Macaca fascicularis: one gene and its partner. The protein of the gene in region 1 purifies or fractionates together with the protein of each later gene. This does not show direct contact. Links are inferred from orthologs where the notes say so. Each region holds a gene or a part of one and is shown on either strand. Other genes may lie near its edges.

Evidence for each region. The genes of interacting proteins can lie anywhere in the genome.
Region 2: the proteins of MAP2K1 (region 1) and LAMTOR3 purify together in Homo sapiens (affinity purification with western blotting; 3 studies listed by BioGRID, with this or other methods). This does not show direct contact. The link is inferred for Macaca fascicularis from reciprocal best matches to the Homo sapiens genes MAP2K1 and LAMTOR3.

Annotation. Positions count from the first base shown.
Region 1 is NC_088381.1:43,043,595-43,047,346, reverse strand, and holds the start of MAP2K1 (dual specificity mitogen-activated protein kinase kinase 1), read right to left. Parts: upstream 2,413-3,752; 5' UTR 1,960-2,412; coding exon 1,880-1,959; intron 1-1,879. UniProt on the Homo sapiens protein: Dual specificity protein kinase which acts as an essential component of the MAP kinase signal transduction pathway.
Region 2 is NC_088379.1:105,526,501-105,530,152, forward strand, and holds part of LAMTOR3 (ragulator complex protein LAMTOR3), read right to left. Parts: intron 2,762-3,652; coding exon 2,703-2,761; intron 1,092-2,702; coding exon 958-1,091; intron 1-957. UniProt on the Homo sapiens protein: As part of the Ragulator complex it is involved in amino acid sensing and activation of mTORC1, a signaling complex promoting cell growth in response to growth factors, energy levels, and amino acids.

The DNA of each region.
Region 1 (3,752 bases):
CCACAACATTCAGCCAGAATCCACTGTGGTCAAAACTTGTCCTAACAACAGTCAGGACTTTCAGTCTATTTTAAGAGGGTGAAACACTGTACACTAAAACTGAACAAATGGGCCGGGCGCGGTGGCTCACGCCTGTAATCCAGCACTTTCGGAGGCCGAGGCAGGCAGATCACCTGAGGCTGGGAGTTTGCCACCAGCCTGAATGACCTGGAGAAATCCAGTCTCTACTAAAAATACTAAAAATACAAAATGAGCCGGGCGTGGTGGCTACTCAGGAGGCTGAGGCAGGATAATCGCTTGAACCTGGGAGGCGAAGGTTGCAGTGAGCTGAGATCGCACCACTGCACTCCAGCCTGGGCAACAAGAGTGAAACTCCGACTCAAAAAAAAAAAAAAAATGTTTGCAATGCAATAATGCAATCCAACTACCTATACAAGTCAGTATCATGCAAAATAGACCCCACAGGATTGACAGGGGACTAAGGAAGAGAGTCGGCTGGGAGCAGGTCTGAAGAACACAGTTGAACACACACCATGGGTCCACCATCGACCTTGTGATCATTACAAGGATGGAACAAGTCATCAAGCCAACAGGTCCCCAGATTATTAAAATCTAGAGAAAGCTGGCTGGGCAGAGTGGCTCATGCCTGTAATCCCGCACTTTGGGAGGATCGCTAGAGCCCAGGAGTTCAAGACCAGCCTAAGCAATATAGCAAGACCCTATCTGTATAAAATTTTAAAAAATAAAATTTTCTAAAAATCTAGAGAAAGGAAGGGAGGTTACAGAAATCACCAAAGAGCAGAAGGTCCAAGCCTACCCTGATTTCATCAGTTAGCTTCCTAAAGCCTGCAGTGTGCAGGTAAAAAGAGATTAAGAACCTAATCTTTACTGAAGGTTGGGCAAACAACAACTAAAAAAAGGCAAATAATAATAATAATAACCTAATCTTTTCTGGCTATTTCTCTAGCTAGCCAAGCAGCTTTCCCTCACAGAGTCTTGTACCTTACCTAGAACCCAAGAGAGTTGTGGGAACTCAGAAACCCCCAGGAAACAGCCTCAAGATTATTTCATGAAATAAAGTGCTCGTTTGTGAGCAACGCTGGAAGCTGCAGAGATGGAGCACCTAGCATGTGGTTTCTAGGTCATGGTGTTTATGCCTCAGGTCAGGAGTTTAGGGGCTCCTAGTCAAGTACGGAAAGCTAGGAAATCATTAGTGAGAAAATGGTTTGTTCAATGAATGAATGAATGAATGAAGAGTCGGATGAAAAAGAAAGCCGCTTTCTTGAGCAATTTCCCAGGAAAGCCAAGGACCGGGAACCTCCAAAGTCGGCAAGGAAAAGCCACGAAGTCCACACGGACTTCCAGCACGCCCCCGCTGGCCAGGCAGTTGACCTGCAACAAGGCACTCAGACCCCACAGGTGTCAGGCATGAAGGTGAGGATGATGCTCCACACTTAATACCCTGAGCCGGTCTCAAAAGCACGGATGCGATCTTAATTCTTTCCAAAACAGTAGCCTCCTCTCCCCATTACAGGCCAGACTCCCAGAGGATCACATTTAGAACAGAGCTGGGGGGAGGCAGGGAAGACGTGCTAGCTTTTATTTTCTTGGGAGAAGACTGCACAGTGGCCAGGAACCACTGAAACGGTCGGGAAAAGGGGTGCAGAGGGGAATCGAGACCCGCGGGATCCGCTAACTGGTCTGAGTCAGAAGCACAATCAGTGCTTAGTCACCGATACCTCGGCGGCCGGGAGTTCCTCGCCCCCTGCCAGTCCCAGACGTACGTGACAAACCAGAGCGGAGCCTGGCGCGCGCTCCTGCTCCCCGGCCCGGGCCTCCCCAGCCGGGCCCCGAGGTTCACCGCCCGCCCCATACTTACTCCGCAGAGCTGGTCCCGTTAACCGCGGAGCCGTCGGGGGCCGGGTTCAGCTGGATGGGCGTCGGCTTCTTCTTGGGCATTTTGGACCTGGGAAAGGCGCTTCCAACTCCGGGGGGAGGGCAGCACCTCTCGCTTCCTCCCACTGCGCTGCCCCGCGCCCGCTGCGCAGGACCAGGTCCGGGCCGCTAACCCCGGAGCTGCCCTCAGAGGGTGCGCCCCGCGCGGTCCCGTCAGCGCCGAGGGGCCGGTAGCGGTCTCAGTGGACCCCCGCCCCACCCGCCCGGGACTCGGCTCCGCGCGCAGAGAGCCGAACGGCTGCCCTGCAGGAGCGGAGCGGGCTGAATGTGCGATTCGGCAGCCCGGGATTCCCTCCCGCTCTCCCAACCAACCAGTCCCTCCGGCTCGGGCGGCCCAGCCGCGCGTGCACCAGAGCCCAGCTCCAGCTCCTGCGGGAGAAAGTGCCGCCACCGCCGCCGTGCTCCTAGCAGCTTGGCGAAGCGGCCCTGGGAGGGACTGGAGGCCGGGGGAGGGGCGGGGAAGGGGAAGCCTCGCCCCCCACCCGGGATGCGGCGCTTTCCACACTCCCACTCGGCTCCGCCCCTATTGCCTCGCAGACAACCAATGGGGGCAAGCCTCGGCGGCAGATGACGCGGAAATACGTCACGGGAGCGGGGCGCGCTGCCCTGGGGGCGGGTTCCGTTGCGGGCTCCACGGCGCCCTCTATCGCCCCAAGGCTCGCAGGTGGACCAGCAGGGAAGAGGTCTATGTCGCTGCGTGGTGAGCTCCTCCAGGCCAGGTGCTGCGCGGCCTCCACCTCTGCGGTAACTGGCCTGCCCCCGACCCCTGTCCCCAAGCCGAGTCGTGTTGATGGAAATGAAATAACAAAATAAATAAGGAAAAGGAACCCTTCCTGTGTTCAGAGGAGAGGCAGCGTGGGGGGATAGGAAACTTGTCGAGAGACTCCTTTGAGCCCAACAAACTGTCACATATATATTTTGTTTGTTTGTTTGTTTAATGGTAATACTACTGAGAAGGGTGCAAGGAAGTGGATACTTAGTGCTGATGAGATTGTATATTGTTGCAACAGTTTTTGAGAGCAGATTGATTTTTTTTTTTTTTTTTTTAGACTTGGGAACTTTTTTTTTTTTTTTTAAGACGGAGTATCCCTCAGTCGCCCAGGCTGGCATGTAGTGGCGCGATCTCGGCTCACTACAACCTCCGTCTCCCAGGTTCAAGCGATTCTCCTGCCTCAGCCTCCAGAGTAGCTGGGATTATAGGCACCTGCCGTCATGCCCGGCTACTTTTTGTATTTTTGTAGAGACGGGTTTTCACCATATTGGCATATTTTTTAAAGCTTTAAAAACACTGTTTCGGGCCAGGAGCAGTGGCTTACGCCTGTAGTCTCTATTTTGGGAGGCCCAGGCAAGAGGATCACTTGAGCCCAGGAGTTCGAGACCAGCCTGGGCAACATAGTGAGACTCTCATCTCTATTAGCTGGGCATGGTTGTGTGCAGCTGTAGTCCAAGCTACTGAGGAGGCTGAGGCTGGAGGATCACTTGAGCCCGGGAGTTTGAGGCTGCAGTGAGCTATGATAACACCACTGCACACCAGCCGGGGCTACAGAGCAAGACTTCCTATGAAAAACTTTCATCCAGGTCGGGCGCAGTGGCTCGCGCCTGTAATTCCAGAACTTTGGGAGGCCGAGGCGCGTGGATCCACGAAGTCAGGAGTTCAAGACCAGCCTGACCAAAATGGTGAAACCCCGTCTCTACTAAAAATACAAAAAAGTAGCTGGGCGGGGTGGTGGGCGCCTGTAATCCCAACTACTTGGGAGACTGAGGCAGACAATTGCTTGAACCTGGGAGGCGGAGGT
Region 2 (3,652 bases), on another chromosome or scaffold:
CTTAGTTTCAACCTAATCCTTATTTGAAATTAAAGGTCAGATGGTTTGGTTATGTTTTACCTAATACACATTAAAATATGTAACTTTTAAAATAAAAGATGGGCCTGGCATGGTGGCTCACGTCTGTAATCCTAGCACTTTGGGAGGCTGAAGTGGATGGGATCACTTGAGGCCAGGAGTTCAAGACCAGCCTGGCCAACATGGTGATAGCCCATCTCTACTAAAAATACAAAAATTGGCCAGGCCTGGTAGCACATGCCTATAATCCCAGCTACTTGGGAGGCTGAGGCTTGAGAATCTCTTGAACCTGAGAGGCGGAAGTTGCAGTGAGATGAGATCATGTCACTGCACTCCAGCATGGGGCGACACAGGCAGACTCTGTCTCGGAAGAAAAAAAAAAAAAAAAAGAGTAACTTAACATCAATTGATTAGGAAACATAGCTCTAAAGCACAAGGAATTAATTCAGTCTTAAGAAAATATAGCTTGAGATCAAGAGACATGTAAAAACTAACTTCTTTCCCACAAATAATAACCTCATTTATTACATATATATGTTTCCAAAAAATGAAGGAATTAGTAGCAAGAGCAAATTTAATAAACTTTCAAGGAAAGTTTTTTTTATCTGTTACTACAACAAAAAAAGTGTGTCATCTGAGAAATCACAGTTGTTTAGCTAAGGGCACCATCTACTGGAGATAACAGTGACCTGACGTACACTTTTTAGGATAACATGTACTTTATTAAGTCACTTAATTACTTTTCCATCGTAATTATTTCCTGGTATAAAATGTGAAGAAAATTACTACCGTTTAACACAACCAATTTGAAGGCTAAAATTTTACAATTTCATCCCCTTCAAAACTGAAATTGAGAACTATAACACAAACTATTTTATATATAAAAGGTACAAAAATGACAACTGAAATCAGCAAATCATTTGATAATTATGAACTTACCTGGTAGGTGTTATAGTAACAGATGATACTTTTATTTTTTGAAAGTCCAAGTTTGCTCCCTTGGTCTGTTGCCAGGGCAAAAGTGGATAAGAAACCAGGTCGCAAAGCATGCTCCGGAGCATTGTCATTGGCCACTAGAAAAATAAGTGATTTAAATAAAAATTATGCAGAGGATATGATAGAGAGATTTACAGCCCTTTTTCATAAACCTCTGTTTAAAACTGAGCACAAAGGTTATGTTTCACAATATTGAAAATCATATCACTAATGGGGTCTCATCACTAATCAGGAAAAATTGCTCAGTCAAAAGTTCACTGATCACAATAGAAGAAATGCTGACTCTCACAATTTTTTTAAATTTTAAAAAGAAAATTAAATGTTTACCTTTTCTTGATATCTAACTTAAAACATAGATTAATCAAGCACATTTAACTGGTTATCTGAGGACTAGGTTAGAATAAACTAATGAAAAAAGTTACAAAACTTCTGCTCTTATAAAACCCACAGCAAGGAATATCTCTCATAGATATTAGCAATCTGCAGCTAGTTACCTGTTTCGTGTTTCTCTCACTCATTAAAAGGTCTGCATGGAGTTTGTTGTATTAATGAGTGCAGGGCTCAAGGCTTTAACACAGATATCCTCATGAAGAACATTAGAACTGGAAAATCTGAGATTATTTTGTTCAAATCCCTCATTACAGAATTAAGAGAAAGCAAGTAATCTGTCCACAACCATTCAACGACCATTTTATAGTGAGTTAGAAAGCACACTGGACCACACATCAGGAGATGATGGGTTCTGTTACTGACTCACGCCCGACTTTGGACTGCAATGTTTGAAGATTATAAACCACAGGACCTCCTTTGTTGATATTCCATGTTCTTATAATGTGTTTGTCAAAATTCTCCCAGAAATGGAATCAATGTCTATTATAGAAATGTTTATAATCTTTACAAATTCATGCAGTTTATTAATAAGAATCTAAGACACAGCTAACTCTCCACTGAAACTGCTAATGAAGTCCAAGTGTCTTTGCACTTTATTACCTTCACTTATAAAATGAAAGAACTAAATCACTTGACTTCTAAACCTCCGTTCATTTCTAAAGTCTAAAATTATCTGACATATATGACAACTCCAGGTGGAAAATTGTACACGAAATATACAGAACATTATCCAATCTTTAATGTTTGATAAAGCCATTACAGTGTCCCAAAAAAACTAGGAACATCCATGCTCATAATACCATAAAATAAAAATAGTAAAAAATTGTCTGAATCCATACTGACTCTCTGTGACATCATGTTTACTTATGATTCAAATACATGGGTATTATCCTAAAACAACTAGCAATTTGATAAAGTGTGTGTGTGTGTGTGTGTGTGTGTGTAATGTAGGGGTGTCTGTGTGTTTATCTAGCTGCCTACATGCTCACTCTCATCACTTAGATTTACTAATGGTTTACATTGCACTGTAAATGTCTTCAACGGGAAATGGGTCTGTGATAAATCCATGCTTAAACTCTAGATGTTAACATGATACACCTGATATATAATACACTGTAGATTCAAATTCAACCTTCAGCATACAAAAGCAAACACTTCCGCCAATACTAAGACCACCATCTCCTAAAATTTACTAAAATGAATTTTAGATGTTTGCCTGCTGTACTACTCAGATGTAAATTACACGCATTTTTAGTCAAAAGCAAAGAAGATATTTGCATTTAAATGTTCACTTTTACCTTTAATAACAGGTACTCCATCTCTATCTGATACAACAATGGCATGGAGCCCTTCAACACTAGAAAAAGAAAATAGTTAAAATATAAAAAAAGTTAAAATATAAAATATTTCATTTTCTCAAACTATACACCTCAAAGACATAATAATTCTCATGTATTTTCTGAAAAACCACAGGACCCCAAAATTCTCCCAGAAATGGAATCAATGTCTATTATAGAAATGTTTATAATATTTATAAATTCATGCGGTTTATTAATAAGAATCTAAGACAAAGCTAACTCTCCATTAAAACTGCTAATGAATGATCAGTCCATGGTTTACAAAAGCATGAAAGATTATCAGCAATGGCTGCAGTGACAAAAAAGAGCCTTCTTCTTTTTTCATTCATGCAAATATTAAATGGCCGGTGTTTGTGGCACTTAATACTTTGATACTATGAAAAACAGAAATAAGCACAATCATTGCCTTCACGTGGCTTCCGATCTAAAAAGTGAGTGTGTTATCAATAATCTCACAAGAACAAACGTAAAACTAAAATTGGGGGCAAGTATTGTTAAAAAGTTCATAGGGGCCAGGCATGGTGGCTCACGCCTGTAATCCCAACACTTTGGGAGGCTGAGGCGGGCAGATCACGAGGTCAGGAGATCGAGACCATCCTGGCTAACACGGTGAAACCTCATCTACTGAAAATACAAAAAAAAAAAAAAAATTAGCCGGGCGTGGTGGTGGGCACCTGTAGTCCCAGCTACTCAGGAGGCTGAGGCAGGAGAATGGCATGAACCCGGGAGGCGGAGCTTGCAGTGAGCTGAGATCGTGCCACTGCACTCCAGCCTGGGCAACAAAGCAAGACTCTGTCTCAAAAAAAAAAAAAAAAAAAAAAAGTTCATAGTGATATGAGAACCTAGAAAACAGGAGGTTGATGCAGACAGAGAGTGGACCAGGGAAGGCT